3 linked regions of the Schizosaccharomyces pombe genome follow. Changing the gene in region 2 together with the main gene of any one other region gives a genetic interaction. Each region holds a gene or a part of one and is shown on either strand. Other genes may lie near its edges.

Region 1 (3,759 bases), 1.0 Mb from region 2:
CGAGCACCTGGCCGTCAATGACCGTGTTTCGGCTTGTAAACTAACCGAACTTTTAATGCTTAATTATCGTGGCCTTTTGGATCAATATGTGCCTGCGTTTATTGAGGTTGCTGGTAATCTCTTACTTGTAACTGAAAAGCCAACTTCTCAAACATACCGCGTATTTTTGTTGGAGGTTATAATCAATGCATTATATTATAACCCATCGATGTCTCTTGGGGTACTTGAAATGCATCAGTGGACTTTACCATTCTTTGCGTTATGGTTTGAAAATATACCTTCGTTTACTCGTGTGCATGATAAAAAGTTGAGTTTGGTAGCTATTTTATCGGTAATTTCACTGGGAGCTCAACAAGTTGCTGTTGCTATCCAAGACTCTTGGGGTAATATAATGAAAGTCATGATAACTCTTTTAAATACACTACCTGAAGCATTAGCTGCTCGCGCGGAATTAGAAAAAGAGTATGACGGTGAAACATTTAATTTATCTGGCTCTGGTTGGAATGATGGCATCGATTGGGAAGCCGATGATGATGAGGGTGTCGATGACTTTGCCGTCGAATATGGGGGACCTGATTTGGGTGGAGAAATCTCGGCTGATGTGGTTGACGATTTTGACGAATTTGAGCATTTCCAAGGAAATTACTTGTTGGACGAGGATCCTCTTTTCCATACTTTGTTAGATCAAGTTGATCCATTTTCACTTTTCCAAGAGTTTATGGTTCATTTAAAGGACAACAGCCCTGTCACATTACAAGATCTTGTCAAAAATTTGGAAGCATCCGAGCAGCAATCCTTACAGAGATTGGTAACTGAAAAACCCTCTACCCTTGCTGTCGCTTCCGATAAAACATGAGCCTGTTTGGCGCTCTAAGCCTGTCCAATTTTGGTAATAAAATATAAAAATATAAAACAAGCATTTTCTACACAGTGGTAATAAGCCAAACTGACATATTTGAACGGCTCTTTTTAAATGGGAAATCAAACTCTACGGGTTTGTAAAAATAATTTCTTCAATGAGATACGACCCGGAATTATGGCTTGGGAAAAATGGATGGAGGGTTTGTCTAAAGGGAAGGCTAAGAAAATTATTGTTGTATCGGTTTACAGTTCGGTGAAAACAAACGCAGAGGTGTGTTTCTTTTATAAGAATTTTGGAACGCCAATTGATTAAATGAAATTTAAAATCATAATATACCAGTTAATAAATATGAGAAGTTTTAAAATCGATTAATACTAGTTCATTTGCTTTTACTTTATGCGAATTGACAAACGCAAGTTGATGAGAAAATGAAATAGAAATATATTTTTCTTGAGGAAATAAGCATAAAGTTAAGTATCCACGATTTAGTAGTATAGGGAAAGTCGGTGTTTATGAATGGTATATTAGATGTACGTTGAATTAAGCAGCTAACTAAATTGATAACGGCTAGTTTAGGGGTTGGATAATATGATAAACGGCTTTTACAAACTAAATTTGATAGACAGCCCCCCATTAACGATGTTGTTATATTGATAAAGCTAAGATTTGCAAGATTTATCTTTAAAGTTATTTTAAAAAGATATCCTTCAAATTTATGATATTATTAAAAATATCATAAATATCTTTAAGAGCCAGCGTTATTATACTATTGCTTCAAACTGTAATGATATTGTTGTTATAGCACAACGCTATCATATAACAGCATTCCAAAGCCGTAACAACAGTACATTTAATCGCGGTTTTTGGGTGAAGTTAAGACCTAAGATATAGGAATACATTTTTATTAATAATATGGGACTACCCCCTAAAACTATTGTTTTAGACAATGGGGCATACCATATAAAAGCTGGATTTGCAGGTGGAAAAGTTGTGTAAGAAGAAGTGCATCACGTCAATAAATTTCATGTATCTTTTACTTTTTTCAGCTAACGATAGTTTTTAGTGAAATTCCGAATTGTTTGACGAGATCAAAAGATGGAAACAGATTATTTTTGGGGAATGAATTGGCCAACTGTAACGACTTTACAACTTTACAATTTCGCAGGGCGCATGAAAAGGTACAGCATTTATGAGGGAGTATTATTTACGAACAAAATAAATACAAAGATTATGTTTACTAATACTAGTAGGGGTATTTGGTCCATTGGAGCACAGAAACAGCCGTATGGGACTTGGTAATGCGCAATGTAGGTGTGATGGAACCTAGCATGGCAGACTATTCTTTACTGCTTACACAGCCCGTATTTACAATGCCTTCCATAGAACACAATACTATACAACTCGTGTTTGAGGAATTCCAATTCGATGCTTACCTCCCTTGCACCCCAGCTGAGCTAATTCCTTGGGATCATGGAAGTTTCACAATGAATCAAGAAGATGCGTATACTGGTCAACATGGAGAATGCGTTTTGGTAATTGACTCTGGATATAGCTTTACACACATAATTCCTGTGATTGATTTCTCTGTTCAAGAACAAGCGGTAAAGCGAGTTGATGTGGGAGGGAAATTACTTACGAATTATTTAAAAGAAGTCATCTCATACCGGAAGTACAATATGATGGAAGAAACATACATTGTTAATGAAATTAAAGAGTCCGTTTGTTATGTGTCTCAAAACTTCAAGGAGGACATGGAGATATGTCACGAAAAACCACGGTCAAAATTGGAAATTTGTTATGCTTTGCCCGATTACAGCACTGGAAAACATGGATATATTGTTAGAGATATTAATCAAAAAATAGAGCAACAAGTTTTGAATCTTTCAAATGAGAGATTCATGATACCAGAATTATTATTTTCCCCATCTGATATCGAAATACGTGAGGCTGGGATTCCAGAGGCGGTCATGCAAAGTGTCACCCACTTTCCTGAAAATATACAGGCAATGTTGCTTGAAAATGTTGTTACAATAGGAGGAAACTGTAAATTTCCCGGATTTCATAAAAGACTATCATCTGAATTACGGTCGCTGGCACCAGCTAATTGGGAAGTTAAAGTTTTTGAACCTTCAGATCCTATTTGCTTTCCATGGAAAAAGGCATCTCATATGCCGTTGGAGCACTGGAATGCGAATAAAATAACTCGTTCTGAGTACTCAGAACATGGAGCAAACATAATGACACGAAAAAGGAGAATATAATAGATCACCATTTTAAAACTCAATAATGTGGGTTAAATTTCTATCTTCACAAAATTCTCAAGGCGAGCTGATAATTCGCATCTTAAGAAATTGGTTTATTACATTAAGGCTACAGCAATATAAAACGAAAAATATGCATGCATTAAGAATAAAATCTTTTTATATTAATTAACGAATCATTCTATCTCTTGATCAACCACTAAAACAACAGCTAAATAACTATATCTTTATTATTGTCGCCAGGATAATTCATACCTAAAAAGCGTTAGCGAAATGAAAGATATTATAAAAAAGATAGGAATGAAAATCAGTATACAAGTATAAAAATTTAACCACATAGTTGTGTCTTCAAGACTAATCGATTTGTAAAGCATCATATGTAACATTCTATCTCTTCAAGTGTTTATACTTACATATTATTAATGTGCCTGAAAAACAAGATTGAAAAAAAAGAAAAATTTCAGCACTTCTTCACTACTGTTTCAAGTGCATTTTATATGTACAGTGCAGTTTCAGGTTGACAGTATAAGAGTTAAAGCAACCTTGAGTTAGAGCAGTCACGGTATACTACTTTAATTAGAATGTAGCGCGTTGCGTTGCAATGTAGTCGTGTCGCGTCTGTTTACATTTTGGATA
Region 2 (3,759 bases):
GAACCCAGTTCCTTAAATAGTTTGGCTGTTTTGCATGACCATATACATACTCCCCCAGAAGTATCACCAGTAGCAAGATAGCGACCGTTATGACTGAAGCTCAAAGCACTAACAGGAGCTGTATGCCTCATGAATACAGCAAGTTGCTGAAGGGAAATAGCATTATACATAGAAACGATACTGTTTGAAGCAACCGCTAGAATTGGTGTCCCTTCCCGCAAATTCCAGTCAATACAATTAACCGGTGAGCTAAAAGAAAAAACATGTAAACATTCAAAAGCACCAGCATCACCTCTAGACCAAAGCTATACAAAACGTTAGAAAACAGTAATTATTAGAATGACAAAAGAAATTTACCTTAACAGTGGTATCACTAGAAGCAGTTAATAGAAGAGAGATACGTAGATTGTATCGTAAAGCAACAATAGAATTATCATGCGCATGAGAAACTGTAGAAACCGGAGCTTTGCCATCGACCTTGTATACTCGCAAGGAGCCTTCCACATCCGAAGTTACAAATTCATCAAAGCTAATCCATTCAATGTCTAAAACGGAAGATGCAAGTGTGTCAATTGAATATTGTGTTTGCTTCAGTTGATCAAAGAGTGTAATAGTTCCATCCGCCGAACCAGCAGCTAGATATGTATCAGTACCGCTCCATTTCAAAGATAAAACAGGGCCTTTGTTGTTATGAAAGCTAAGGATTTGAGAACCATGACTATCGTAAATTTCAATCACACCGCTGAAGAATGCGTAGGCTAAAAAAGAACCAGAATTCTAAAAGTTAGTATTTCAAAAAAAAATTTGAACCTTACATTCCAAGCAACGCCAGTGATATCTTGGTTATCGAAAGAAGATTGCAGACAATAATCTGTTTTTGCCTTGAAATCATTTTGCTCTTCACAAATGCTAACTGAAGCCAGAGTAGCGTTTGTCATACCAATAGAAAATTCGTAAACATGGTAATTTTCTTGTAATAGTGGACGCCAATCTGCACAGGTAACGGGGTGTTTGGTAGGAATTACTTTGAAAAAATCCGACTTTATGTCTTCGCCGCCAGTAAAAGTAACCTGTTTTATTTCTGTTATTTCCGTGACAGGTGAACTGTTGTACACGGCTATAGGTCGAGCCGGATCCTTCTCTACGTTTGATTCATCGGCCATAGTAATGTCAATATCCCTTTTCTCAATTTTATCCTTAAATGGCATGACCGGAGATGAAGGCGACCCAGACCCCTTATCTTGTAAAATTTTAAGTTGGTGATCATTAGAATTATTGTGTTCGCAAAACCCATTGGTAGAGTCAGCTTTCGTCAGTGTCGTTTCGCATATATGAGGTACGGTGAGATAGAAAGGGAGTTTACAAGGATTTTCATTTACAAGACTTTCTCCATCTATAGATGTTTTGCTAGCTTCTTCGTTTGAGGAGTGATTATCAACGTAGTGCTTTTCGAGCTCCACGTACTGTAAACCCTTCTGCAGAATTTCGACTAAAGCGCCAACCTGGCAAGTACTTCCCCATTGTTTGTCTAAATTTTGGATGCCTGTTTCCCTTTCAAATGCAAATTTAGTATGCGAATAACCTACAACAAAAAACACGATAATGTTAACGAAACCGAAAAAAAGGAGAGATGAAGCGACTATGATTCACAAAAACCAACTATTTAACATACCGCATTCTTTCAAATATCTCCAGATTATATAATTAACTTGATTCGTATCCATTTCCTCCACAATTTCTAAATCTATAATGGTTCAAGCTACCCACGTAAATTAAAGTCAAATCTTAAGGTCTGTCAACGAGTTTCACTTAAAACCTCAACAGTCTTCTATTTTCTTTCTTTTCCTGTCAATACGGATTTAACTTGAAGGATTGTCGACGAATTCCCATTGAGACGGTTTTTAGTAGTTGTGGAAGTATTAGTTACCGAAATTTAACTAGATACGTGCGATGGCTGAAACTGTGGATTAAATCTTCCTGCTCTATTATTTGCACGTAGGTTACTATTTAAACAGCGCTTGATCAAAATAAAAATAATCGAGTGCCCACTTTTTGTATCCGAGGAATTTCAGTAAAGTTTTCCCTCTTTGAAGTCGGTCTCTTAACAACTTAAAACGGCAATGCTAATAGTTCTCTTCGACTTTTAATTTCAATCAAAATTCACTTTTAGAAGTTTGTGTTAAGGAGTTGGCAGCCAGATTGTATTTTCTGACTTTCATGAATTCGTATGCTATTTCTGTACTCAACATTCCATACAAGAGTGGTAGGAGCCTTATTTGGTTTTTTTATTTCTAAAATATACTGCTATTTTATTTGAATAATTTGAACATTCAGGGTCCGCTTATCATGCTAAGGAAATGTGATTTTCTATTACAAATGTTTCAAGGTCAAGCGAATGCTTCTTTCTGATATAAGACCGCTCTAAACAATGCATTCACTATATTCTAAGAAAGGAAAAGATGATTTGAATTATGACTAATAATTTAAGACATTATTCGATTAAGAGAATCAACACTTTGTTTTAACCCAGCAGAGCGATATGCAGCAATTTCTCATCAGGGTTTCCCTCAAAAAACTGCCAAATATAATAAAAATTAATTTCTCCCTTTACTATTTACTCTAACTTTGAATGCGTTTATCTCCTCAACCGAACCGATCATAGTTACTTGATAAACCAGGTTGTGCTCAAACAAATATATCAGCGAGTTTAAACTTCTTTTCTATCTTCTATTAGAATCGGCAAGCTACAAAGTTATGTAATTTTCTGGATGTTTATAATCTGGTCGAGCCATGACCTACCTATCATCTTACCCGCTACCGAATGTCCCTGTAAATGAGATTATTGAGAAGGCATTAAAAAACCAGGTGCAGTGTCTTATCTCAACTTCTCATTTTCTAATTTACTAACTGTATTAATCCATATAGGCAATTTCTTATTATGCTTATATTCCAGTGAAGCGATCTTTGGCCAATTCAGTTTTCGTAAGAGTTTCTATTTTTTAGATGCAAACAGCTAGAAATTTTATTTCGGATTGCACCATTTACTTAGAGGTATCCTGGTATTGTTTACTTTGAGACCAAAATTGTTGACGTCGATGATTTTTACGGTAACGAGAACTTTACTATTTTTTTTTACCTAAAATTTATCAATGAATCATTTCTCCAAGTTTTCGGTTACGAAAAGGCTTCTTATCCTAGAGGTATTGTTTTCTGCAATATCATTTGGAATCAGCATCTACATCAAAGTGTTTGGTAGGAGTTCTATTGTAACTTTCTTTCTTTTATGTTTTCATTTGGTTCCAAATGCTTTGTTCTTGTTTCCATGGACAATAATTACCACAAGTTTTGTTGATGCTAATGTTTTTACGCTACTTTCAAGTATTCTCATTCTCTCGGTGTATGGCGTTGAAATTGAACGTTCATGGGGTCATAAGGAGTACTTGCTTTTCTGTCAGTTTTTAACAGTGATTCCAAACATTGCTGTCTTGATACCTTGCTTTATTGCATACAAAATTACAGATTCACATTACTTGTTGGTCGCAATTATCCAAAGTACGACCGCAATTCAAGCAGGGATCTTAACTGCTTGGTACCAATTGTATTCGTGTAAAAAGGAAGAATCTTCAAACAAATTTCTCTGTCCATTGTCAAAATACCTTATTTATTTGTTCCTTTCAATTCACTTATTTTATGTTTTTCAAAGTTTTCCATGGACTTATTTCTGCTTAGCTGTCTCAGGCACTTGCATCTCTGAGCTAT
Region 3 (3,759 bases), on a different chromosome or scaffold from region 2:
CTTTATAAGCATCCTTGGTACGATATACTTTCTTGATAGCTTCGTTCAATAGTTCATCACCACGAACGCAAATATCGTATATTTTGGCTCCAGGTTGGCATAATTCTACCACTTTTTTAATAACATTTTGAGAAACTTCGCCTGCAATTTTATATTTATTGACGGTTTCAGGATTACTCAAAGAATAATCGACAGCAGTCTCTGAAGTTGCTTCTTTAGTCGACATATTGTCTATGATGTAGCTAAATCTGGCTACAAATTCAAGAACTTGGTGCTAGGATTTTGCAAGTCACAAAATTGTGGACTCCAAACTCATGAATAACATGGCTCATATTGAATCCTATGATATAACTAAATAGTAATGCTATTAAAATTTACACATATTACCCAGACACAATATAATGTATGAGTTTTTAAAAAATACAATAGAACAATTTACTAAATTCCTGATATAAATTTCTCCAAATAATATCATTCACCTATTAAACTGTAACCGATTTCCATTTTGTTCGTTTTTTTAAGTAGCAAACATCTAATCATAAAAGTCTTGCTCAGCATCATCGGAGTAAGCAAATTCATCATTTTCACTGCTATCTTGCCATTCGTCTTCATCGGGATAGCTATTTTGATAGAAGCTTTCAGCGTTTGAATCCTCATCAATTTCATCATGTAATGGATCATCTTTATCAGAGTCCACTGTCTCGGAGACTAGTTCCTGTTCTAATGAAGAACGAAAAGCGTCTGGGATGGACAAAGCATCAATTACACCATAAGCAAACGTTGGCTTGTTTGGTTCTTTGCTAGATGCTTCATAAATATCGTATACGTAGTCTTCCGTAGATTGCTGAAGAGGAAGGTCTCCATTTGACAAATATTCTTGAATCATAGAATCTAGCTGAGGATGCGGATGATACGTAGTATGTCTATGAATGTTAGTTAAGGTAAAAAAAGCCAAGAGCCAGTTCTTATAACAACAGAACTAAGTAATTGACTCTATTTGATGTTGACATACCCTTGTTCGACACGGATAGCGTCGAACACTCTATTACTTTGAGTAGAAGGTAAATTCTGAATTGTATAGCGTGGGGATGAGAAAGAAAGAATACCTTTTGTATTTTCACGGGATCCCAAGTCCATGTGCGTAGGTGCTTTCACAACGTCTTCAGAAGTTTGGACGACAGGGATTCCGTAATTGTTCTTTTTTAGAGATGATATTTTTGTATGACTGTGGATATTTCGAACGTCTTCATGAGTGGGTTCCGAAGATTCATCATTTATCTGAATATACCGATCATCTTGCTTCAGCGTTTGTGATAGTTTAAAATCTAGAAACTGTCAATAAAAGGTAATTGTGTTTTTCAAATGATTAGTCCTTGTGTAATATTCCAACACAAAAGCTCAAGAAGTAGCATACAATATCGTCCGGCGAATTTCCTTCTTTTCGTACTTGAAACAGAATTTGGATTGTTTCCAAGTTCCAAATCTAAATTATTAAGGAGTTAGATAAAGAAAGTTTACTTAGAAGCTTGGTCGTACATAGGGCGTTAACAGGATCTTCTGAAGCTTTACGCTTAACTCGAAGTACTGGAAGAGGCATCTTCGTATCACAATTTAATAACGAGAGTTAGACGACTCTTTAAAAAAGGAATTAATATAACCAGCAAAATCTACGGTTGGGGGATGGCAAGTCTGCAATGTAAAAAAGGTAGATATAAAAGTAGCTCTTCGACTGAAAGACAGCAACTTCAGTATAACTTGGATTGAAGTAGTATTACAACAACGCAATCTTATCTTTCAAAATGTAAAATATTCTATAGTTTTATTATTTTAAAATAAAAAATCGTGAAGTTCATTATTTATATCATTGTCATCACTTAACAAAAAGAACTTTTCTATAATAAATAATGTTGAGCAAACAATGAAGCAAAAATATTCAATAAGTCTAATTACACAAATTCACAACTTAAAGATGCCCCACAACAATTAATTCCACTCAAAAGAACCGATGATATAAATGTATACTTTGACGATTAACAAAGATTGGTCTAATCAAGCAATTATCTCATGTAATACATTCAGGAAAAATGTATTTTGTATTGTTTTAATTAAATTCAAAAGAGGGTACAGTCAATCTCTACTGCTGCAATCTGTACGAGAATTGTCTTTTTTAAACAAAACTTCGAGAACTAGTTTGGATGCTTTTTTTTTTTTTTTTTTTTTTCACATTTATTTCTCTCTTCTGAAAAATATATCTTAATCAACGATCGTATGAAAATGAGGTCTTTGTAACATTTGACATATATCTTCTACACACCCAACTGGTACCAACAACAGCATATGGATGGAACTTCTCAAGCTTTTAAAATTATTGTAGCTACAATAATTATAGGAGCTATTATATCTACCCTAGGAATTTTTTTTACTAGAAAGACAATTCAAAAGAAGTTACCAGCAGTGTTTTTAATTGGACCTAGCGATTCTGGAAAAACGTCTTTGTTTTGTGAGGTATAACAATAATATACAATCTTTGAATACTTATTAACTGTTATATAGCTAATTTATAAAGAAAAGAAAACTACAGTTCCTAGCATTGAACCTAATGAAGCTGTGTGGAAATATGGTGCTTGGTTAGTAGATCTTCCAGGGCATCCCAGGGCCAAACGTTGGATTACTACTAAATTCTCTGGAAATTATAATGTAAAAGCTGTAGTTTTCGTTCTCAACAGTGCTACAATTGACAGGGATGTGCACGAGGTTGGATTGATGTTGTTTGACACAATTTTAAAATGTCGCAAGCATCATGTCCCTCATCTATTAATTGCCTGTAATAAATTTGATCTTTTTACTGCTCAACCTGCGGAAAAAATTCAACAATTGTTAAAAGCTGAACTGCACAATATTTTGGAAGAGAAAAATCTTCAACTCGAATCTATAGTCTCTGAAGATGTCGATTGGGAATCAGTTGCAGATCAGATTGAAGATACTGATCTTAAATTCCTTCCTGGCAGCGTTGCAAAAATGTCGAACATTGAAGAATGGATTTCATGGATGGAATCAGCTTTACAATAAAGATGCATTAATTATTCACAATTGATAATTTACAAGTAACCAACCAAAAAAGATATATTTTTGCATGTCTAGAATAAGCTATCGTTTTATTTCAAAAATTCGTAATCTTGTGTGAATACTGTAAAATACTTAAAAAAATTAACAGGGTTGTTGACAAACTGATTCGTAAAGTACTTGTACTTAGGGACAGCTTGGGTAAAAAAAAACAAGAGAAACATTAATATTAGTATAAGAATATCAAGAAAAGAACAATCCAAGGTTGTATCAAAGCCTCACATACGCAATGAAAACACTCTTGATCATTATAAGAAGGTGAGCAACAAGCTCAGTTGATAAATGGTGATACTTTAAAAAAATGACTGCAACGAATGCATCATATGAAATATTCTAAAAAAAGATAAACATCACAAAAAAGTGAAGCTGATAAACAAAATTACTACACAACAAACTCATTAAGTCCTACAAACAAAAACGTGATATTATAAAAACTTAAACACATATTTCAAAATGGTTAATAACTGGGTGGTCGACGTGACCTGCACGTTAAATTATGAGGGAAAATTGTCTAATGCTCAAACATGGTCTCAGTGATGATACCAGTGACGAGGTAAGGATCGATGGAAGAAGCAGGACGACGATCCTCAAAGTAGCCGCAACCATTCATGGCGACAGAACGGGGGATACGAACGG

Evidence for each region.
Region 1: mutations in hif2 (region 2) and arp6 together harm fitness more than expected from each alone (negative genetic interaction), as found in Schizosaccharomyces pombe (2 studies listed by BioGRID).
Region 3: mutations in hif2 (region 2) and iwr1 together harm fitness more than expected from each alone (negative genetic interaction), as found in Schizosaccharomyces pombe (2 studies listed by BioGRID).

The regions. Positions count from the first base shown.
Region 1 is NC_003421.2:1,210,234-1,213,992, forward strand, and holds arp6 (Swr1 actin-like protein Arp6), read left to right. Parts: upstream 1-1,705; 5' UTR 1,706-1,774; coding exon 1,775-1,854; exon of another isoform or gene 1,855-1,925; coding exon 1,926-2,040; exon of another isoform or gene 2,041-2,112; coding exon 2,113-3,123; 3' UTR 3,124-3,426; downstream 3,427-3,759. Other genes in the region: nmd5 (karyopherin), read left to right, coding at 1-856.
Region 2 is NC_003421.2:192,517-196,275, reverse strand, and holds the start of hif2 (Set3 complex subunit Hif2), read right to left. Parts: upstream 1,913-3,759; 5' UTR 1,725-1,912; coding exon 1,673-1,724; intron 1,583-1,672; coding exon 816-1,582; intron 778-815; coding exon 358-777; intron 306-357; coding exon 1-305. Other genes in the region: protein pdh1, read left to right, coding at 3,150-3,759.
Region 3 is NC_003424.3:1,592,858-1,596,616, forward strand, and holds iwr1 (RNA polymerase II nuclear import protein Iwr1), read right to left. Parts: upstream 1,683-3,759; 5' UTR 1,598-1,682; coding exon 1,537-1,597; intron 1,484-1,536; coding exon 1,415-1,483; intron 1,326-1,414; coding exon 1,013-1,325; intron 924-1,012; coding exon 533-923; 3' UTR 445-532; downstream 1-444. Other genes in the region: peptidase family curved DNA-binding protein Cdb4, read right to left, coding at 1-226; signal recognition particle receptor beta subunit Srp102, read left to right, coding at 2,338-2,505, 2,554-3,069; glutamate-ammonia ligase Gln1, read right to left, coding at 3,635-3,759. UniProt on the Schizosaccharomyces pombe protein: Directs RNA polymerase II nuclear import.